Caenorhabditis elegans: one gene and its partners. The protein of the gene in region 3 interacts with the protein of the main gene of each other region in a pairwise test. Each region holds a gene or a part of one and is shown on either strand. Other genes may lie near its edges.

Region 1 (7,252 bases), on a different chromosome or scaffold from region 3:
CAGCTTGCAAGACTGGAAATGTGGTTCACAAGCCAGTAATCGATGGAACGCCTGTATACTTTCCAGCTACATGGAGAGAAGACAAAGCGGCACCGGCTCTTGCCAAGGACCAATCGTGTAGCTGGATGGTCACTATTCCCCAAGGATACTATGCAAAATTGACGATTAGTGGAAAAATGGGTGATAAGCATTCATACTTCCAAACTGTTGACTGCACTGGAAACGTTGTTCAGTAAGGGGTTTCCCGGTTTGTGAATATGAGAAAATTAAGTTTTCAGAACAAAATTGGAGACAAAGCATCCATATTACTTCCCATCGCCAAAGTTCACTCTAGTTGTGTCGAATGAAGCAGCTGCCACGTTTGCATTTAAAATTGAATGGGCTCCGTGTAAGTTTGGAAGTTTTAATAGTATTTGGGGGTTACCCTAAAAAATTTAAAACAGGCAAATTTTGATTGAGGTGGAGCAGCGCCAGTGGGGAAAGTTATAAAAACCACTCCTATGGTGCTAAAATGACCGAATATCACAATAAAAGTTTTCAAAAGTTTTTTGAAAAATGTTTATTTACTGTCAAAAAGTGAAAATTATCCAGTTTTTACCCTTCATAATTTCGGAAGTCGACCAAAAACAACTTTTTTTCCCTACATTTTTATACTGTAATTTTTTAAAAATTATTTGTATCGAAACATTGTAGGGGTCGGTACATACAATACTGCTTTGGATTTCCTTAAAAACTTATGTTTTTCAAAACTTTGGCAATCTGCCAAAACTGACCGGGAATTATGAAAAATCTAAAATTTTTTGGAGTATTTTAATATGATATTCGGTCGTTCCGGAAGTAACCAATCCGCAAAAAAGCGCCTTAGAAGTGGTAAAAACCCACCGAGGTTTCGCACCCAAATTCTTATGCCCTCTGGGTGATCTTATGTTTAACCTTAATAGATTCCAGATACCACCCAAATATCATACATCGCCGGAATTGGAATGCAGCCACATGTCCTTAATATCACACAGGATCTGTTTGCGGCCGATTTCAGTTCAGACAAAGTTGCTCTTTTCGTCTCTCCAGCCGATCCAAATGACTATTATTCCCTGAGAAGCTCTCTTGTTTTTGAGGGACAAGATTACAATGGAAACTTTGTTGCAAAGTGAGTTTTTTTAAACAAAAATGTTGAGAAAAAAAAAATCAATTTTCAGCTTGTACACGCTCTATGAAACGCACCAGCAATGGGTTTCTAAAGGCAGCATGGTCTATATCGTAAACTTGGAGGCCAGCAACAAAACCGACATTCTGTTAGTTCAAGATATACAATGTATGATACTCTTGGCGTTTTTCTCTTTTTTTTATATCTAAAGTTTTCAGATGCAAACTTTGTTGACTACGTCGAACTTAACTGTTACGGCGTGTCAACATGTTCCGCTTCTGTTGATGGTGGTGATGGAAAATCTGCCGTTCTTTCTTTATATGCCTCCCGAAGCAACGAAACTTTGGTTGATATTAAAATGGACCCGGTATGCCTTTAAAATCATTTTTAATTTTTAAACTCGTAATTTCAGAGTGCAACAATGAAAGTCTACTACGGATCTGAAACTGCGTTCGGCTTTGATTCAACATACAAGTACGTCTGCTAGCAAGGTTTACAGTTCCTAAATGTTATGTTCTTTTCAGTGGTTCAACAATCAATTCGCAACTTCCACTCACGTTCTACGGCGAAGATGTAACTCAATACGTCATTAGCAATGGCAAAGCTACTCTTACTTTTAATATTCCACAATAATTTCAAAGCATAAACGGAAGTATACTGCCATCGACGTATTAAACAGTTTTTTCGTTTTTTTAAAATAAAAGTTATGCAGTCCATCAGCGAAAATTTATAAGCCAAAGTGCTCGAATATTGGTACATTGTTTTTGCAAGATTACCAAAGTAAACAGGTAGGTCTACCTTGCCTGCAAACCTGACCTGCACATGTCTGTTGCTCTGTATTATAAAAATTATGTTTTAACAATAGGTACGTAGGTTGCCTCGAATAGAATTAGTCAACCTTGTGCCTTCCAAACAGTATTTTACAGAAATATTTGACTATTTTTATATGTTTGAACTTTGATATCTGATTTTAATAAACAATCATAATTCATACTGTGTATTAGAAATTATAATTTATTCCCACATATACAAAAAGTGTAAAAGTCCAACAAAAAAACGTGAAAGCAGTTGTTTAAAGTGGTCCTGGAATCAGGAGAGATTTCACATCTCTATTTTTATTCTTGAAATCTCTCATTCTTCTGAACGAGTTTCCAGTGACCTCATTTCCAACTTCAATCGGTCCACCGCCCAACACAATTTCCTCATTGAGAATGAGAGTTTTTGACAGAATAAGGATAAGTTGAACTTCCAAATTAAATTTTTCCTTGAGTTCTTCCAAAGCGGTTTCAACTTGAGAAAGAGTTTGATTTCTGTTGGCGGTGATCTCAGAAAGCATTTTGTAAGTTGATGGAAGTCTTTCAATCACAGAGACTGTGGTCTCATTGAACTTTTCTTTTCTGGCTTGCCATTTGGAAGTGTATACAGCCCATTTGTCCTAGAAAATGGAACTTTAATGGTTAAGTTATTTTATTGAATTAGATTGGGATTATATACTGAAACTTGAGAAAAGCCCAAATTTAATTTTACAAGGCTCACAGTGCAGTCTAGTTTTCTGGGAACTTACAGCAATTCCGTGCTTCTCCGCCCACTCGTCCCACTTTTGGTCCAACTCGGCAAGGGTCAATGTGTGATCGAAGAGAATTTGGAAATAATCATTTTGAGCTTCTTCCGTCAAATTTTGAAAAATTGCCTCCATCTCCTCAGCAACAGTTAGAGTAGGAGCAGGAGTAGGTGCAGCAAAAGCTACAGTGGTGAAGATTATAGCAGAGATGAGATAAAAGAGCATTTTTGAATTCTGCTTGGAAATTTTATAAATTTGCCGGGCTTTTATAGGCTCTCAGTAACTATATGAATGACCATTTCCATATAAGGATTTGTTTGAAAAGCCCATTTTTAGCTGAGCAGCTAAACAAGCAACAATGCGTGATTTTCGAATCGATTCATTCTCGGTCAGGCTTTTTGGTACAGCTAAAGCTTAGTTTATATTTTTTCTCGGGTTTTCTTTTCGAAGCCAACCTTGCCGGGCTCCAACCTTGCCGGGCTTTTATAGGCCCTCAGTATCTCTCAGATCTCTCAATTGATGAATATTATCACTTTTTCTTCAGTAACCTATACTAATTTTTTAACTTGGAAAAACCCCTCCTTTTTGTCCTCTTTTGAAAAATGTAAATTAAAAAAAAAGGATTCTATTAATAATCTTGTATATCAGATACAATTGACAAATAGATGCAAGGTCAGATGTTCAAATATTATTTCATTAAACAGAAACCGTTTTTAGGACAAATGGGATCAGATGATATTAAACGACGACTGACTAGCTGAAAAAAATGAAAAATATGAATGAACTGCTTGAAAGACTGCCGATCATTTTCAAAGCACTGACAGACATAAGTCTCAACAAAAATCAAACATTTCATGAATTTGTTGCAAACTCGATGGAACTGGAGAAAAAATACAGAAACGAATTATTTATTTTGAATGATATCTGGGAGACTTTAATAAAAATTGAGAAGAAACTGTAATTAAACTTCCAATGAATTGTGATAAATGTTCATGTTTTCTGATGTATCAACTTTTTATCTAATTGTAAATAAAATCTGAATTATTTATCGATTTTCGATTACATTACAGATGGAGTCGTGGTTGTCCGAATTTTCCCTACAACATACTCGGAGCAATGTTTTTCAAAGAGTCAACTTTTAAATTCTAGGATTTTTTCGTGCACATTACGAGAAGTGAAAACTTTAATGGCAGTGATGCACGTTATTATCGTAATTGACAAAATACATTTTTAGTGCCGATAACGGCAAATTTGGAAAATCTGCCGTGGTCGCCAAACTCGATAAATTGCGATATTTTTTCACTGACTTTTCAGCCGGAAAAGTGGAAAAATGGACGAAAAAACTTAGCACGAGTTATTAAATTTTTGCATAAAGGGATTTCTTGAATAAATTATTGACGAAAAAACATACACGGTTTTAGGTGATTTTATTCAAATTTTTTAATTGAAACCATCTGGTTTAGACAAAATATCAATAAAACAACATTTTCAGATGTGCAGAAAATTTCAAAATTCGCCGAGTTTGCCCACCGTTAAATTTGGAACATTTGCCGCAAACCTCTCGAGTGGTTTTACAATTGGTTTTTTCAAGTTCTTGAATAGTTGCTACCAAAATTTGAATTTTTCGTCTTGTCCCGTGAAGTTTTTAAACTTTTTCTTACTTTTTCTCCTTTATTATTGTTTGGTTTTTCGACATTTTCTGGTTTTTAACAGTGTTAATATAAGACTTCAAGTAAATAGTTTATTTCCAAATATACAAACATTAAAATGTTTCCAAAAAAAGTTATAGCTTATAGTGGTCCTGGAATCATGAGAGCTTTCACATCCATGCTTCTTCCCTCAAAATCCCTCATTCTTCTGAACGAATTTTCAGTAGCCTCATTTCCAACTTCATTCAGTCCACCGTTCATCACAATTTTCTCATTTAGTCTGAGAATTTTCGACAGAATAAAGATGAGTTGTACTTCCAAGTTGAACTTTTCGTCGAGTTCTTGAATTGCGGTTCCAACTTGAGAAAGGGTTTGATTTTTGTTGGCAATGATCTCAGAAAGCTTTTTGTAAGTTGATGGGAGTCTTTCGAATACAGTGGTTTTTATTTTGTTAAACTTTTCCTCTCTGGCTTGCCACGTTGAATAGAATACAGCCCATTTGTCCTGGAAGATGAAAGTTTTGTTATATATTATATATACGGCCCTGTTTACCGAATAATGGCGAACCGGGTAAAATTTTTCGAACCTAGATTTTTAGTCCTAAATATTTTTGAAACTTTGCTGCAGATTGAGCAAAAAATGTTGAGAGATATACTAACTTTCATTTCAAGAAAGAGGTGAGATTTTTTTCATTTAGCAAAATCGGAGTTTTTTTTTGTAAACTTACAGCAATTCCGTGCTTCTCCGCCCATTCAGCGCTCTTTTGGTCCCTCTCGGCAATAGTCAATGTCTGATCGAAACCGATTTGGAAATAGTCAAATAGAGCTTTTTCAGTTAAATTTTGGAAAACCGCTCCCCCCGCTTCATGTACTGTTAGAGCAGGAGCAGAAGTAAGTGCAGCAGAAGCTACAGTGGTGAAGATTATAGCAGAGAGGAGATAAAAGAGCATTTTTAAATTCAGCTCGGAAATTTATTAAATTCGCTAATCTTTTATAGCTCTACAGTTACTATATGAATGGTTTTTTCCATATAGGTATTTGTTTGAATAGTCGATTTTTAGCTTGGGATGAGCAGCTAAATAAGCAATACGGTTGTATATAGTTAAAAATATACCATTCCTATTGATATCAATTTGATTCTCCAGTAACAGATCATTAAAAAATCATATCAAGCATGTTGAGATACAATGCCAGAATATGCTAAAGTAATATTTAAAACTCACATTCTAACTTAAATTTTTGAAACAAAGCTTTCAACTATAGCTATAGCTAGATACTGAATTTTTATTTGACATTTGATATGTACACATGAGTGCACCGACCGGTACTGAAAAAGTGTTCAACGTTCATATCTGCTAGTGGAAATGAGGTAAAACCTGCTGAATTAGATGAAGAAGTCGTATGAAAAGAACAACCATATGCAAATTATGGTCAATTTGGTTACAAGTGTTCAACTTGAATCAATTCAAAAAGATGATTGGAAAAGAAAACACGGAAGACGCTGAAATATGCGAAAAGGTTTGGATTGACAAAAATTGTAGAAAAATAAACATTTTACCATTTCAAAACGATTTTTAATAAAAAAATTTTTTAATTGAAAGTTAATCTCCGAATCTATCACTGTCCCCTATAATTAAATAAAACAATCAAAAATCATAGAAAAACTGTTTCAATGGGATCATACATAGTTTGAGGAGCTTTATTTTTAAAAAAAACTTGTAATTCTTTTTAGAAAGTCCGGTGAGCCATGGCTGGCTCCAGAAGGACATATTTTGGAAGGTTTTACTTTAATCTTAAAGAGTGGAAATTTCGAAATCATTTCAAAATCATTTCAGTATTCCTTGGTAGGAAATCCGGAAGAACCTTGTTGCAGTTTAAGAAGGCTCTTATGTTGGTCTAGTGGGCGTTGTTTCTGCAAATAACAATTTTTTGAAACTTTCAAAATCTTAAAATCCAAGAAAATCCAAAAACTTACAACTTGCTTGACATATCCAACACCTTAAGATGTTTTAAAGTGAAGAGCTCCTCGAGATCTTGTGTTCTCTTAAACTCCAAGCCTCGAAGTGAGAGCTGTCTGAGATTTTGCAAATTAGAGATCCCTTGAAGATTTGAAACATTGGTGTAGCTGATATCTAAGCAATACAAATTCATAAAACTCGGGCACAGCTTGGAGAATTCTGTTTTATAGAACTTCAAGCCGCATAACGCAAGACTACGGAGCCGGGGGAGTTGTGGACCGATCTGCAAGAGCAATTACTTGGTTAAGAAGAATGCATGGGATGTACCTTTGTTATTTTCTGGTATGTATAAAGTGGAAGAACTACTTGCTTGAACCACATCTGATAGCTCGGCGGTCCACCAACTAATATACTAATATAGACTCCGAGTTATCAAACAGAATACCAACTCGATAAGGCATTATTGCCATTATTGACACTAAACCTTTCCACCATTGACTTATTAAACTGATTAGGAGAATATTCGGTACTTTTCCGATTTCTGCCCCCCCCCCCCCCAAAATGTTTTGGATATATTCATTAATGAAACGTGAACTTTTTTTGTAATTTCAGGGGCTTATAGTTAGTAGTGTTGTTTTCTAAGCCTAAAAATTGAAATAGTTTTGAAATAAAATAAATTGAACAAATGCAATAAAATAAGCAGTTTTTCAACAGTCATTACTTATTTCCGTGTACCGTTTTGTTTTTAAATTGTAAATCTAGGTCAGAAAAGTCACACACACCGAGGAGCTAGGCTTCCCTCATCCTCCACAGGTAAAGCGCGGTGAGCGAACGGTGCCTGATGAGTGAGGGAAGGGGCCGCGGTGAACGACCGATGCCTCAGTGGTGGAGGAAGGAGCGCGGTGAGTCAAGAAATGGCGAAGGATGGTTGAGTGTTTTGG
Region 2 (7,891 bases), on a different chromosome or scaffold from region 3:
TTGACAATTGCCGGTGTGCGGCAAATTGGTCGAATTTTCCGAGCATGGCAAATTTTGAAATTTGCTCTATACATCAAAAATTTAAAAATACAATTTTGACCAACACTATTGATTTTTTCCCCAAAAATTATGTAAAATGACACAAAATTGAGTCATTTTTACATTTTTCACACGGAACTTAATCAAAAAAAAAAGACGCGGGTTAAGAATTCAGTACTTTTAGTGCTCCAAAAAATATTTAAAAATATAACATTTTTCGGAATTTGTTAAGCACGGCAATTGTGCCGAATTTGCCGAGCTCGGTAAATTTTGAGATTTGCCGATTTGCCGGAAATCAATTTTTTGAAAAACCGTAGAGAAAAAACTCACGTGGTAGTTGGTAATGCAAAGTTCGGAAACACGTTATCTCTCTTCATCAATGGATACCATTCGTCATCATCCTTTTCCACCTCAACTTCACTGATTGTTGACATCGAATCCCAAGTCATTGCGTCTTCTTCATCATAGTCATCATCTTCCTCTTCATCACCCGTTTCTCCAATGACCTGTCTTCCATTTCCATTGGCGGCTCCATTCGTCTCCATATGATAGACTTCCATATCAGAGTCGTCATCAGGTTCGGCGTCAACATCCAACTCATCTGGACTATCCACATCAATCGCTTCTTCCTCTTCCTCCTCCTCCTCGTCCCCGCCAAATTGATGTCCAAATTCAAAGTCGTCGTCACGATGTTCCATATTAGAGCAGTGGGGGTTGATTCCTCAAATTTAAAGGTGGAGTAGCCTCAGTGGGGAAATTGTTAAAAACCACTCCTATAGTCCCAAAATGACCAAATATCATGATAAAACTTTCCAAAAAATTTTTGAAAATTTTTTATTTACTGTCAAAAAGTGGCAATTACACAGTTTTTGCTACTCGTAATTTTGGAACTCGACCAAAAAACTTATTTTTTCCTACATTTTTTATACTTTAATTTTGTTTTAATTATTTGTATTAAAACATTGTAGGGGTGTGAACATGCGACATTGCCTTGGATTTCCTCAAAAGCTCGTATTTTTCAAAATTTTGGCGATTTGCCAAAACTTTGATCAGAAATTATGAAAAATCTAAAATTTTTTGGAGTGTTTTATTATTATTATGATATTCGGTTGTTTTGGATCATTATAAGTGCATTTAAACAAAACCCCCACTGGCGCTACTCCACCTTTAAATATTAAATATGATATTTCAAATAAGCTACAAAACTCAGGTTCTAAAAATCCACAAAACCCCGAAAATAAAGCCAAGTCAAAATGCAAATCGATAGATGAGAGAGAAAGAGGCACAGAGGTCTCTTCACTCACAAGATGCAATGCGTCTCACTCTCTATGTCTCTTATGGTCTCGTGTTCACATTAGACTTGGTTCTATGGTGACCGAGACATATCGATAGGAAACATTTTTTCGTAATATGCAACCATCATGTGTCATTTGAAAGTGTTTCATGAGGCTATGTCACTGCAAAATTTTAAGCGGCAAAGCTCTACTCTCAACCCCAAAAATTTCGATCTTAAATTGTTTCAGGCCAGTAGAATTGGTCCTGATTTTTTTTGTGCAAATTTTCAATGTTTTTTAGAACGGCTAGAAATAAGTTTACATTCTGGGAAATTTTTAAAAATTTTAAAAAATTTTTGAAAAAAAAATCTAAAAATTTCCTCAATCCACTCCACTCGGTTCAAAAATTTTTCAGATTTTTTGAAAAAATTTAAAAATTTTCAAAAATTTTCCAGAATGCTTACCTACTTTTAACCGTTTTGAAAAACATTGAAAGTTTGCAACAAAAAAAATTTGGAGCAATTCTACAGGCCTCCAAAGTAGTGAAGAAGTGCACTGTAACAGTTTCAGATCGATGCTAGAGGGGTTGAGAGTGGAGCTTTGCCGCTTAAAATTTTGTAGTAATATATCCTTATGGAACACTTTTAAATGGCACTTGTCTCGTTTTGAAGTCTGACATTAAAAAATAAAATAAAATAAAAACCTTTCCTTGAAAAGCGGCCATGTTATTTTTTAGTGCTAATCTAGTCAATAAACTGTGAGCCAGCTATAAGTTTTGTAGTCATTGTTCATTTTCTAGACAATAAAAAACCAAATAATGTAAATCAATTAAAATATCAAAGTTGTTTATTAAGTTCTTGTGAAACTAATTGGTTTCATTATATACAAAAACTTGAAGTCATTGTTCAGAGTCCGTTCACTTTCTTCTACAGCACTGTCCATTTCCGCATGGAGAGTAGTTAGCTTGGCAGGAGCACGAGTTTTGTGGGCTTTGTGGGCTCTGCTGGCAAGCCGTAGTCGCTGGCTGAGCGGCTTGGCAGGAGCTGGAGCACGAGTCCTGGCAGGCAGACTGGCACTGAGCGGCTGGTTGTTGTTGCTGAACGCATTGCTGCTGGCACGACTGCTCGCATTGTGGAGTACACTGGGAGGACTGGGCGACGGAGGATTGGAGAACGATTTGGATCACAGCTTGGGAAGATGCTGGGGCGGATGTGCTGGCATCGTATGGGTTGTACATTGGAGCTGGAGTCTGAGAAGTGCAGGAGTTGTCACAGGCTGGCTGGCAGGCTGGGGCGCAGTTGGCGGATCCGGAACCTTGGTTGTTGTTGTTGTATGGATTGTACATTTGGGTGTTGGTGTTAGAGTTCTGGTTGTAGACCTGTTGAGTGGCTTGAGCAGTTTGTTGGCAAATGTTGGAGCACTGGCTGTTACAAGCCGAATTGCACTGGTTAGCTGGCTGTTGTTGTTGGGTGCAGGATGATTGACACTGTTGCTGGCACTGTGGTTGGCATTGAGCTTGAGCCTGTTGGATCTCGAGTTGGATGTGGACTACTTGTGGTGCCTGAGTGGATGTGGCTGGAGCATCGCAGGCAACGTTGCACTGTTGCTGGCATTGTGGCTGGCATTGGGAAGCTGGTTGTTGTTGCTGAACACAGGTGGATTGGCACTGCTGTTGGCACATTGGCTGGCATTGGACGACTGGAGCTGGTGTGGTGGTGGCTGGTGGATTGTACATTGGAGCGCACTGGGATTGGCACTGCTGTTGGCATTGTGGCTGGCACTGGGCTACCGATGGTGCAGCCTGGCATTGTTGGGTGCAGCTCTGTTGGCAAGCTGGAGCACATTGAGTGGTTTGGACCTGAAAGTCTCTCTTTGGAGCTATAGCATAAGTTTGCTAGTAACCTGAACATTCTGGGTTTGTTGTGGTTGAGCGCAAGAGCATGATGGGGATTGTTGCTGAACTGGAGCAGATTGGCACGAGCACGATTGAGTCTGTTGAACCTGTTGGCACGAGCATTGGCTCTGCTGGGGTTGAGCACATCCGCATTGTCTCTTCTCACGAAGCACATTGCCCTGAAAATTAATATTCGTAGACTCAAATTTTTAGATCTTGCACAACTTACAGACACCACTAGGGCGCAGGCGAAGAAGGCAATGGCGAGGGAGGTGAAGCGCATGATTAGAGCCGAAAGTATCGGATGAGTATTTCCATTTGATTGTGGGCTTATATACCATCTCGCTTGAAACTATCCCAACCATCTTCCGCCTTCTCATGCCGCGCGGCAAACAATTTATCGCGTGAAAAAGTGTTCGGTAAGACGAGCAAAGATGAAAAAAAAAGAGACGGTGAGCAGTGCACTCGAGTGGCCTATTCAAATAATCTTTGATTGACAAGAGAAAAAATTCATGATGTATGTGCACCAACACTTTGTTGAACTTCCTGCCCGTTATCACAGAATATATAGAGGTTATCGCTAACATGGAAATCAGTAAGTGTGTCGCGGGCGATGGAAGTGCAGAGATTTCCAGTTTGATTCCTGTGACAATGACTTTTCAACAACCGAATAATCGACGAAACAGTGGCACCCTTTCGAAAACGAGCATATTTTTGTATTGTGCCTATATTTCGACATGCTTGGTGAGTGTAGAGGGAATTTAAAACTAGGAAGAAAAAAAAAGAAATTCGCATACTTTTATAAACTTCAAAATTGTTTTTTAGTTCAATGTGGAAAAACATGAACATTCAATTTTTCGATACTATTTACAGGAAGACAGGGCTTGGTCATTCTGTGTCTCTCTTTGTATGGACCTGATGGGTGGTATGAGAGTGGTTTCCATTGAGCAGCTTTTCGAGGGAGTCTTGCAAATGTTTCTCAGCGGATATTTAGGAAAGCATTTCGACGGGCTCTCGAGGAAACGGGGTACGGTAGACAACTAAACGATCCCGTGGTGTCAGCCTGCCTCATTGCGGTTCGATCTACGACAAATGGGAATATTTTACCAGAAAAATTGTGACGTCAGCACGCTCTTAACCATGCAAAATCAGATGAGATCTCTGCGTCTCTTCTCTCGCATTTTTCGAAGATCACAGCAAAATGGGACGTTCTGACTCCACGTGAACGATTCATTTTTACAAATTTCGATTACTGCAAAAATGATTTGTTCAAGTATCACATTGACCTAACAAAAACTACAATCAAATACTTATTTCGTGAGTATTTGTAAGAGAAAATCAAGTTTTCAATTTCAGCAATCATGACCGTCGTACCGTTGAACAATTTGAGTATTTGTGCTGCAGCTGCTCTTATTATCAGTGAGTTCTAATTTGACACTGATGTAGGTACTCGAAGCTAAAATATTTTAAGCTTGTCTGTCTATCGATGCCACGTCACCGTGGTACATAGTCTGCCTGGTTCTAGCAATGTGCATATGCGCGGTGAACCGGCTTTTCCTGAACGCGGAAAAGTTCATCACAGGCAGAGATTGGGTTATGGTACTCGGAAATGATGGTACACTGTCGAATATGAACGCAACTCTGTTGACATTGGATCAATGTACCAATGTTATTGCACCGTTAGTAACTGGTGTTAGTTCTGTGTTCGCTTTTTAATTCCAAAGTAAAAACAAACTAAGTTAAGGCTCTGGTGACCTGGGTTGGTCTTCGTGAAACAGTTGGAATATTTGGTATAGCCTCTCTTGTTTCAATGGCTTCAAAAACCATTTTCCTTAGAGCAATCTACATCTCCAATCCTCTGCTTCAAGTGAAGAAAGACAAGAAAGATGAAGCGCTAGACCCATTCGCCAATTCAAGGCTCAAAGAATCTGTGGTTTACACGTACTGGTGCCAGATCTCATTCCCAGCTGCATTTGGAATGAGTCTTCTATTCATGACAGTGATGGGATTTGATGGATTAGCTGTAGGATATGGCTCAAGTGTAGGGCTTCCGGAATTTGTTATCGGAGCATTCAGATCCTATGGATCCGTGACTGCGATCCTTGGAGCGTTTTCCTACGCATTCTTCGAAAAGCGATACAGTGTCGCCACTTCAGGACTACTGGGATTGGTTGTTCAGCAGTTTTTTGCGGTTCTAGCAGTTATATCCGTGTTCCTCCCGGGATCTCCTATGAACCTTGGTGGATACTTTGGAAACTTCACTATGGGAACTTGGTGGCACGATATGGTTCACTCTTTCGACGGGAATAACGCTACAAACTTGGACCCACATGTTGATTGGAAGCACTTTTCGTCTGATGGTGTCAGTTTGGCCAGCATCTTTGTGTTCTTGATTGCGATTGCATCCGCAAGATATGGTGAGTTTGGGTTTTTTTTAAGGTGGTGTAGTCGAATTTTTTATTACCTTATCAGGCTCAAAATTGTCTGAAAACTCCTAATTTTATAATGAAACTCCTTGAAAAATTCTCAAAAAAAAGTTATGACGGCTCAAAAAATGGGCTAAGATTAGTTAAAATTGAAAATTTGACCGACTTGTCAAGCGGCTGGAAACTATCTTTTTTTGAAACCATGGTCAAAATTTAAGTATACAATGTAATTATCTTGTGTTTTAACTTCATATAGGTATTTTAAAGTCGATGGACGGCAAGTTTTGGTTTAAAAAAATTAAAAATCTCAAGTTGAAAACGCAACATAATTACATTTTGTACTCAAAATTTGACAGTAATTACAAAAAAAAAATTGTTTCCAGCCGCTTGAAAAGCCGGTCAAATTTCAAGTTTTAACTAATACATATTAGGAAATGTCAAAAAAATCAGGAATTTTTTAAAAATTAATTTTAATAATCAATTTTCAGGATTGTGGTGCCTGGATCTGGCTATCACTCACATAATGCAAGTCACCATCCCAGAACGAGAACGAAATACAGTATTCGGAATGCACAACGCGTTGTGCCAAACGTTCTCCGTTTTAAAAGATGTTCTAGTCATTATTCTCCCATTACCGGCAACTTTTGCAATTTGTATATTTATTTCTTACGGGTTCGTCTCTTGTGGTCATATGTTCTTTATTTATTACTTGGTGAAAACCAATAGCTTATCAACGGTTGGCAGGAAATTGTCACAACTACCAGAGAAGGAGGAAAAAGAAGAGAAAGAAGAATTTGAGAGGTTATAGATGAATTTATCTAAAAGATTTTTTTATAAGCAAATAAATAATTCATGAGCAAAATATAACAATTTTTATTATTGATCTGAAACTAAACTTTACAAACGTCTTATCATATATTTTTCAATAATCTTATTGTGAATAATCTTTGAATCGTTTTTCAAAAAATTGTTTTAAATTATTTTTTGGCAATATTTAAGAATTTCTAATTTACATTTGAAAACATAAATTTAATAGATACGCTCTTGAATATTACAAAGAAAATATATTAGCTTATTTGAAAAATACCAAAAAACTGTTCCAGAAATTTATTTTTAGTAAATATAGAGTTGCACCAGTTCGGTAGTGTACTTTTCCTGAGACAACTTACTTCAACTTGGGAATTACTTCAATGTGCCAATTTAGACATTTTCCATGTTATGGACATTATTACAAAAATTCTAGATTATCAAAAACTTCAAATGTAAATATTTATTTCTCTGAAACTATGACCTGTAAGAAGCAAAATATACATCAAAAAGCTGGCAAGTAGTGTACACAAAAAATATGCTCAAAAAGTGTTCAATACGTGTAGAATCCCTGCTTCGTTTTTCTGCCAAGCTTTCCTTCAGCGACCAATTTGTCCATAAGTGGGATTGGTGCAAAACGGGCGTCACCAGGGATGGTTTCGCGGAAGACTGAAAGATTAGAAAGGGTTCAATAAAACCTAGAAAAGGAGTTGGTAAATCTCACTTTTCAAAGTGCTCTGCAGAACATCAAGTCCAACATAGTCACACAATTCAATTGGTCCCATTGGGTAAGAAGTTCCAAATCGCATGGCTGTATCGATATCTTCTTTAGTTGCATCTCCACGTTCCAGCATGCGAATGGAGTCCATAAGATATGGGATCAATAGCCGGTTGACAATGAATCCAGGAGTATCCTTCGCGGCGACCGGCAGCTTTTTGATTTCTTTGCAGAAGTTGAACAAGAAATTTGTGGTCTCTGGAGAAGTTTCATCAGTTGATACAACTTCTACAAGCTTCATCACTGGAACAGGGTTGAAGAAATGAAGCCCAGCGAATAGTGCCGGGTTCTGAATAACTGGGAGCATTTGAGACAGTTTTAGAGACGAGGTGTTCGTGATAAGCATGCAGTTTCTGAAAAAAAAATTATAAAAATGTTTTAAAAAAATTTAATGCTCACTGTGGGCAAGTTTTCTGAATTGTCTGGAAGATGTCAAGTTTCAGATCCAAGTTTTCGGCCACAGCCTCAATCGCCATTGCAGCATCTTCGGCAGCGGACGGAATCTGAAATATTTTACTTCCAGATTTTATAGACCGGGTGTAGACAGCCTAAGGTGTAGCATAAGCCTCAGTCTTAGCCTAAGCTTAAGCCTAAGCTTAAGCCTAAGCTTAAACTTAAGACTTACATCAGTATGAATCTGGAGCAAATCAAGTTGAATCTGAGCAATTTCCTC
Region 3 (7,939 bases):
TACTGTAACTTAAAACTTTTGTGGTATTTTTATCGACTTTTCATGGTTTTTATGTCTTCATATCGTTTTTTTTTGATAATTTTTATTAAAAAAACAAATATATTACCTGCTGTGGTGCACGAACAGTTCTTGTTGATGACGTGCTGGCATGATCTTTGCGAGATCTCTCGCTCTTCAGACATCCACGACTTGAAGAGGAACCGTCAGTTTCAGCCCCGGTTTTGTCTGAAAAAAATAAATTATTGATTTTTATTCAATCTGAATGAAAAATTCGAATTCTTACCATCATTATCCAGTGAAACATCAGATTCGTCAGAAGTGTTATCGAAGAGTCGTCGCGCAGGAGCATCTGGCACATTAACGCCATTATTTGCTGGGTTTCCAAAATTTGAAGATGATGGAATGTCTTTGTTCTGTTCTTCCGATTGAGACATGTTGTAGAATGGTGGAAGACGAAGAAGATGATAAGAGTGACAGTTTAATTACTGAAAATGTGCGAAATTTTATATAGTTTTATTTATTTAGGAAACAGATAGTGAAAGTTTGGGAGGAGTTGAACAGTATAAAATAAGAATGACAGGCAGAATGGCTGGGTAAATATTATTCAAATACAAGTATTTTCAAAATTCCGCAAATTTGAACAAGTTTTCATTTAAAAAACACATTTCGAACGGAAAATTTGGGTAAAAGAAAGCTTGGAACATAGTGAAAAAGGACTTTGCGAACAAATAAATTAAAATTTGCTTGATTTCAATTTGTTTTTTTCATTTTTTACAGAAACAACAAATTTCACAGCAGCGTTCTCCTGACTATCACACTTTTTTTTTGAAACAAAAACGAATAAAACAAGCTTGAAATAAAACTTTTGGTACCCAGACGTCTCTGGCCCCAAAAAATTTAAGTTGACGGGTGTCGACAGAGGGAAATGAGTGGCTTTTGGAAGGAGACCTGGGGCCACCAGTCAGCTTCTCGCTTCTTTTTTTTTCTCTAGCACTCTCTCAACTTTACAATACACTCTACGCGCTGCTGCAACTTTTCTGTCAAGTTGTCTGCCGTCTCTTCAGTTGAACTTGGTTTACTTTCGTGGCGAGACACATCAAAGTGACGGCCGACATGTGCCTTTGAGGCTGATGAAATTATTCCCGCAATTTCCAGAAATTTTTGCACTGATTCTGAAATAAAATGACGTTGCAATCTTTAATTTTACTCTTCGTTGTTCAAAAACTTTTCAATTTTATTCTCGTTACAATATTTCACTCTTCATTGACCAAATTTCGCAAATAGAGCGCTTAAATTCAGATTTTAAGTTAAGCATTTAAAATTAATACTCTTTTTTTTTAATAATAATAATAATTTATTACGCTCGCTGGGAGACGTGAAGGAATATAGAATACAAAAGTTATCATTGTTCGCTCGAACTAGAATTGGTGCAGTCGGGCAATCGTTTCCATTCCATTAGAATGTTGTCCTTGTCCTTGCGTTGTCCTTGCGTAGACTCCCCCATAGTGGGCGAGCGATTCCCGAGTGAAAATAATCACGGAATGCCATTTTTAAGCGATGCCATTTTCTATTTCTTGAACTATATATTTTTAAGAATATTTTAATCTGCGCTTTATCATGGATTTTCAATTCAACTTTATATTACTTTTCTAACTTCAATATAAAATTATTTAATAAATATATTTTTATTTTTAAGAAAATGTCCGAGGAGATCAAGCCTTCTGCTCCAGATGCGCCGACTGCTTCGCCAATTGTGACCAGAGACGAGCAAAATTTGGTTGTCTCATTCCTTCAGTTTATCCGCCAGAAGGTTTCACAAAATCAGGCCACTGCCGAGCAAGCGGAAGCTCTTGAAGGTTTTTTCCTATTTATTTCTATAAATTTAGCTTAAGATATATTAAAATTTCAGTTGCAATTCAATGTCTCGAACACTCGTTTGGTCTTGATGATGCCTCATACGCTTTCCAACCATCACGCCCAATTCTCGAACTTTTCAAGAGCGCCGAAGGACTTCCAGAGGGAGAATCTGCTCTTCCAACACCGAGCGATAGTGATATTTCTCAAGCTAACAAGCTTAAAGAAGAAGGAAACGATTTAATGAAAGCCTCCCAATTTGAAGCTGCTGTTCAAAAGTACAATGCCGCCATCAAGCTCAACAGAGATCCAGTCTACTTCTGTAACCGCGCTGCTGCTTATTGCCGCCTGGAACAATATGATTTGGCCATCCAAGATTGTCGTACAGCTCTTGCCCTTGATCCATCTTACTCAAAAGCTTGGGGAAGAATGGGTCTTGCATATTCTTGCCAAAACAGATATGAGCATGCCGCTGAGGCATACAAGAAGGCTTTGGAGCTTGAACCAAATCAAGAGAGTTACAAGAATAATTTGAAAATTGCTGAAGACAAATTGAAGGAGCTGGAAAGCTCGCGACCGGCACCAGGTGCCAATCCATTGGCTGGGCTTTTGGGAGCCATGGGAGGAGGACCGGGAGGAATGCCGGCTATGCCAGGAATGCCAAACATGCAAAACCTTATGAACGAGCCAGGACTTATGCAAGCTGCTTCACAGATGATGAGCGATCCAGCACTTTCTGATATGGTAAGTATCAAATTTTCGGGAATAAAAGATTTAATTGAAATGGCAATGCACGTGGCCGTCAAAATTAATTGTTTTTCATTATTATTGCTTGTTTTTTGATGATGTATGCTCTAAAATATTGAATTTTTCAGTTCAACAACATGATGTCTGGAAATGGATCAATCGCTGATTTGATGGCTGCTGGCCAGCAAATGGCTGCTCGCATGCAAGAGACCAATCCAGAACTTATTGAAAATCTTCGACGCCAATTCGGCCCCGGAGCCGATGGAGGAGCACCACCACCAAACCCACCACAATAGATAATCTCTTCCGCCAATCTCCTTCCGCATCACGAATTTCCATTTCGTTATCTCTCTCTCTCTCTCTTTCCCCTTCTCTCGTCTTTACTTTCTGCTCTCATGTGATTTGAAAAAGCCGAAGTCGCTTATGGTTACTCGTTTTTTTTAGTTTCTCTCGCAGAATTTCCCCTTACAATGATGATGTTATAATCGCCCCCGATTCAAGCCTTATCGAAATATTGTTTTTAATTAGATGGTCATGTTTTAACTACCAACAAAAAATTGGGTCAATTTTCTTTTTTTTCACGAATAATAAATATTGTCGAAATATTCTTTCCATCACAGACACACTGGTTGCAAACGCGCTCCAACACGAAATTATCGATTTGCACCCAAACGAAAGATAGCGCGGGAGTACTCACATTTTCTTTATTTTTGATTTTTTTGTTGAAATATTTTAGTATTAAATTAAACAATTTAAATTGTAAAAAACCTCAAATTTGAAAATAAATTCAGAATGCAACGCCACGAAAGGATTCGATTTTTCATAACTGAACAATGTCGTAATCTGGATCCAACGTATAGAAATTATGTAGGAATTTAATTTTCTGTCAATCTAAATTCTTTTAAAAGTTATTTTCAGATGTACCCGAAACAAATTCTTCTCGGTGACGTTCCTCTACCACTTCTCCCTAATTCTTCACTGACGTTTCGAGTCAATTCAGCTGTAAGTAGAAAATTTATTGCGTGACGAGCATTATTGTGTTTTAAAAACTCTAAAAATGATCAAATAAATTTAATTTTTTTTAGGAAAAAATCTGCTTCCGTATTCGACTTTCGATTGATGACAGCCAGGAACCATTGAATATTGGAATTCCATTATCACAAGTTGAAAGTGTTTCAATTAAAGATCATAGTGCGAAACATCCAGAACCTGCTCTTCTTTTTTTACTTAAGAAAGGAGCTTTAGAGAGATTTATTCAGGTACACTATAATTTTTTCGATTTTCGCACGACAAATTTTTGTAAAATGAAAGAAGGTGTGCGCCTTTGAAAAGAGTACTGTAATTTCAAATTCTCGTTTATGCAGAATTTTTATCGATTTCCATAGATTTTCACTAACAACTTGTGTTTGAAAAAACACATGAACTCGTCAATTCACTGCAAAAAAATTCGAAAAAATTGAAGATTCCGTAGCAACGAAAGTTTGAAGTTACAGTATTATTTAAAGGCGCACACCAGTTTTCACTTAACGGACAATTTTCGTGTCGAGACCAGACCCCGTATAAAACGAATTATTTCAGGTCTGTAATCCACTATTGGGCGAACTTCACACATATCATGGACGAAAACGTAAAATGCTGACATATCTAACAGTAATTCTCGGAATGGATCCACACTTGGAGCAACCGAATCCAGTTTATTGCCGTGTTTCATTAATGGCTAACAAATTCACATTCCCATTTGGAACAGCGAAGAAAATTTTATTAAAAGATGTGAGTTTTGATTTACCGCGTTTTCTAAAAAAAACACCAACAAAAACGTTTTTTCCCGGGGAAAAAAGACGAAAAATGAGTTTTATTCATCTGAAAATACATGAAAAATTAGATTTTTTAAATTAAAGATTTCCCAAAAAAATTATCAGAAAATTTCCAATTTTTCCATAAGAAAACGCAAAGATGTATATTTTTCAACTAAAATATTGCGATTTTTCCAAGAAAAAAAACTATTAAAAATAAATACAATCCAATTTTCCAGTTACCAATAATGTGGCAAGAAGTCTTGGATAAACAATACGATCGTCGTCTGAAAACTGGAATTCATCATGATAGAGAACGAATGGCAGAGATGGATGATGAAGCATGGGATTGGCTTATGTCATTTCTAAATGTTAAATGGGACAAATGTCCCAGTGGTGGACGTTGGTTCGTTAGAGATAAGGATGGTACGTTTTTTTTTTGCTCCGAAAACATTAATAGCCAGTTGTGAAATTCGGTGATTTCGAATAAAAATACGGTACTCGGTCTCAACACGACTAGAACTTAAAAGCTACCGTACCCAGAAGTATTTTGCAATTTCCTAAAATGTGGCAATATTAATTTTTTCATAGAAATACCAAGTTTTTTTAGCACTATAAATCTTGAAAAATTTAAGGAAAAATTGTGGAATACTTGTGAGTTTTGTAGCTGCAAAGTTTCTTGAAAATCGAAAAATTAAAACTACCATAACTACAATGCAATCTAATTTCAGAACTCGAAACTTCAGTCAACGAGCATAATGAGTAAGTTTCCTATATTTTACAACTAAAATTAACTCTGAATTTCCAGAAATCTTGCAATCAAACGAGAAGCTTCACCACAAGATGATCTACTGGCTAAACCAATGAAGCAAATAAAATATTCCGATTCAGATGTTGGTTCTCCAAATTCTATATCTTCGGAATCTTCAGCTTCTATTATGACACGATAAAACACTCGTTTAAAAATCATTTGTTTTCAACCCCGCTAGAACACTTTTTACTATCAGTTTTCCATCTAATTCTTCACCAAAAAATCAAAAATCGATACTCACAGCTGCTCCTTTACAATTTCAGCCGTTGAGTTCTCATCATGACTGGAAATGTATCATTTGGCTGAGTCTATTCAGCGACATTAACCATTTCAACTTTTTTGGCATCAAATGTTTTATAATTTTATTCTTATTTTACTGCACTTTATTGTCATTAATGGCTCAATAAAAATGTTAATAATCAAGTTTTAAACACTGAGACATGCCAGGAGTAAACATTTTCAGATACAGTACCCACAAGAACGGTAGACTCGAAATTTGAATTTTTCAGAGGAAAACAGTAGTTTCACGAGCTGAAAACAAATTTTTTGTGTTGATAAAAGTCCAAAAGCATTTCTGTTCAGAAATTAATTCCAAAATTAATTTATCGTAGACTCAGAATCCGTTGTAGGAGTCTATGACTCCAGGCTCGTCTCTCGGACTCTGAATATCAAAAGACGAAGTGAAGAAGCTTATTGAGATGGAGGAGAAGCCGAAGGAACTTTGGAAGAACTCGTTTTGGCAATTTGCATTTCTATTAACTATTGAATAAATGATTATATGTACATAATATCAACTAGGACCCTTTGGGTCCTGCAAATCATATGGGCCTTCAAATGGCCTGAAATGCCGTATGGGACCATATTTAGCTTAAAAGCTGAAAGGTTCAATACAGAAAAAACAAGGAGATTTCGATTTATTGCACAAGAAGTCTATTAAAAACAAATTGAACTTTCTTATTAAGCCTTCTAAAGGTTGTATTCGATTTGGAGATCCACACAAGCTCCTTTAGGGACCAAAATTTAAAAGCTGAAAAGTTTAAGACACAAAAAACTGAACTTTCAAATTTCATTTATTGAACGTATTGCAAGTTCACAGATCCTATGGGTTGTACTCAATTGGGAGGTTCTTGCGACGGACCATACCGTCTCCTTGGAACCATTCCCGACGGAATTGCTTAGCAGCACCATCCGGGGTGTTGGTCCACTCAACAGTGATACGATCGTTGTTAGTGTCCTCCTGTCCAAAAGCGAAGGCATCGCAGGAAACTGCCAGAAGAACAGCTTCCTTTGGATCGAGCACTCCACATGGTGGATCAACTCCAAGTCTCTTCATATTGGTGGTCTTGATACCGTATCCAATACGGCGAGCCGAGGAGTTAATCACCTTGATGTGGTAGGTGTGCTTGTCGTCGTATGGTGCATTGAAGACGATCTTCGTACCCGGCTGGGTCTGGATCATACCTGTGCGGCATTCGGAATTTTTCGGCATAACGGCATAACGGCATATGCCGCCAAAAATTTTTTTCGGCATATCGGCATATGCCGATATGCCGTCCATTTTTCTTTTCGGCAAAACGGCATTTTCGGCATATGCCGTGAATTTTGAAATCGGCATTTCGGCATATGCCGCGCTCCAAAAACCAGCATTATGCCGGCATTCGGCATTCGGCATTTCGGCATTTTTAATTTAATTTAATTTAATTTATTACGATAGTAAAATATCGTGAGGTAGAAAAAAAAACACACATTAATAGATACAAACCATCACAAGTGGTTACATAAATAAATTACACAAATAAAACGAAACAAAAATAAAAAGAGATGAGAAGAAAATGATGGCTACATTGGAGAAGAAGCAAAAACAGAAATATCGATGTATAAATGGCAAGAATAAATGATGGATAGAAGTGAGGATAAGGTAACATTAGATCAGTGTTGCTTCATTGTGGGTAGTGTTCTGTTAACAAAAAAGTGTCTCCTAAGTTTAGATTTTCCTGTGCTCCAGATATATTTCTTTTTAGAACGAGTGTGGGTCTCTTGTTGCTCAAAAAACTCAGATGTTTTTAAGTCTACTTTACCAGTATTCATTCTGATTATTTGGATTCTGTCAATTATTTTACGTCTCGTGCTTAAGGTTTGGAAGTCGAATAGTTCGTTACGTTCCATGGCAGTTTTGTAATCTTTATCAGTTGGATTAATATATCTTTTTTTGATTCTACTATAAAGGCGCCTAGTGAATGCGTTTTGTACAGACTCTATTGCTTTCTCATCCGATTTTTTTGTCGGAGAAGACACTACTGTTCCATATTCTAAACGAGGGCGGATGAAAGTTTTGAATAAGAGAATCATTAGTTTCTTATTGGAGGTACTGTACTGGTTGAACATGTTGGCCAGTTGAAATTTAGCTAGATTGATACATTTCCTCCAATGCTCAGAGAAATCCAGCTTTTCAGAGATTAAAAATCCAAGGTCTCGGGTAATAGCTTTTCGCTCAATAGGGTAACCGTCTAGGTGGTATTTGAAATCTATTCTACGTTTTCCTACTGTGACGTGAACTGTCTTAGATTGGTTTAGAGTGAGTTTTGATCCCCTTGTCCAATCTACTACAGCATCTAGAGCAGACTGTAAATTGTTTTCGCTTTCAGTCTTAGGGGTCGATACATACAATTTCGTGTCATCTGCAAACTGCTTACATGCTACTTTTTCGGGTAATATTGATGATATATCATTAACA

What was found. Proteins that work in one complex are often made in the same cells at the same time.
Region 1: the proteins of sgt-1 (region 3) and srlf-4 interact in a two-hybrid assay, tested with the Caenorhabditis elegans proteins (2 studies listed by BioGRID).
Region 2: the proteins of sgt-1 (region 3) and pqn-54 interact in a two-hybrid assay, tested with the Caenorhabditis elegans proteins (2 studies listed by BioGRID).

What each region holds. Positions count from the first base shown.
Region 1 is NC_003282.8:12,921,434-12,928,685, forward strand, and holds srlf-4 (SXP/RAL-2 family protein Ani s 5-like cation-binding domain-containing protein), read right to left. Parts: upstream 3,000-7,252; 5' UTR 2,931-2,999; coding exon 2,709-2,930; intron 2,580-2,708; coding exon 2,217-2,579; 3' UTR 2,144-2,216; downstream 1-2,143. Other genes in the region: C32H11.4 (CUB-like domain-containing protein), read left to right, coding at 4-232, 279-388, 949-1,147, 1,197-1,312, 1,363-1,511, 1,557-1,618, 1,669-1,777; srlf-5 (SXP/RAL-2 family protein Ani s 5-like cation-binding domain-containing protein), read right to left, coding at 4,496-4,858, 5,082-5,303.
Region 2 is NC_003283.11:1,460,613-1,468,503, reverse strand, and holds pqn-54 (Prion-like-(Q/N-rich)-domain-bearing protein), read right to left. Parts: upstream 3,515-7,891; 5' UTR 3,491-3,514; coding exon 3,437-3,490; intron 3,387-3,436; coding exon 3,216-3,386; intron 3,172-3,215; coding exon 2,230-3,171; 3' UTR 2,144-2,229; downstream 1-2,143. Other genes in the region: gid-8 (CTLH domain-containing protein), read right to left, coding at 370-737; fpn-1.2 (Solute carrier family 40 member), read left to right, coding at 3,859-3,951, 4,081-4,234, 4,564-4,626, 4,679-4,899, 4,952-5,624, 6,122-6,441; hacd-1 (3-hydroxyacyl-CoA dehydrogenase), read right to left, coding at 6,994-7,109, 7,165-7,571, 7,618-7,721, 7,844-7,891.
Region 3 is NC_003280.10:4,897,554-4,905,492, reverse strand, and holds sgt-1 (SGTA homodimerization domain-containing protein), read left to right. Parts: upstream 1-1,696; 5' UTR 1,697-1,699; coding exon 1,700-1,856; intron 1,857-1,909; coding exon 1,910-2,598; intron 2,599-2,729; coding exon 2,730-2,897; 3' UTR 2,898-3,205; downstream 3,206-7,939. Other genes in the region: btbd-10 (BTB domain-containing protein), read right to left, coding at 107-225, 284-434; R05F9.9 (MSP domain-containing protein), read left to right, coding at 3,394-3,468, 3,520-3,603, 3,687-3,860, 4,180-4,371, 4,634-4,820, 5,126-5,156, 5,203-5,344; msp-32 (Major sperm protein 32), read right to left, coding at 6,305-6,664.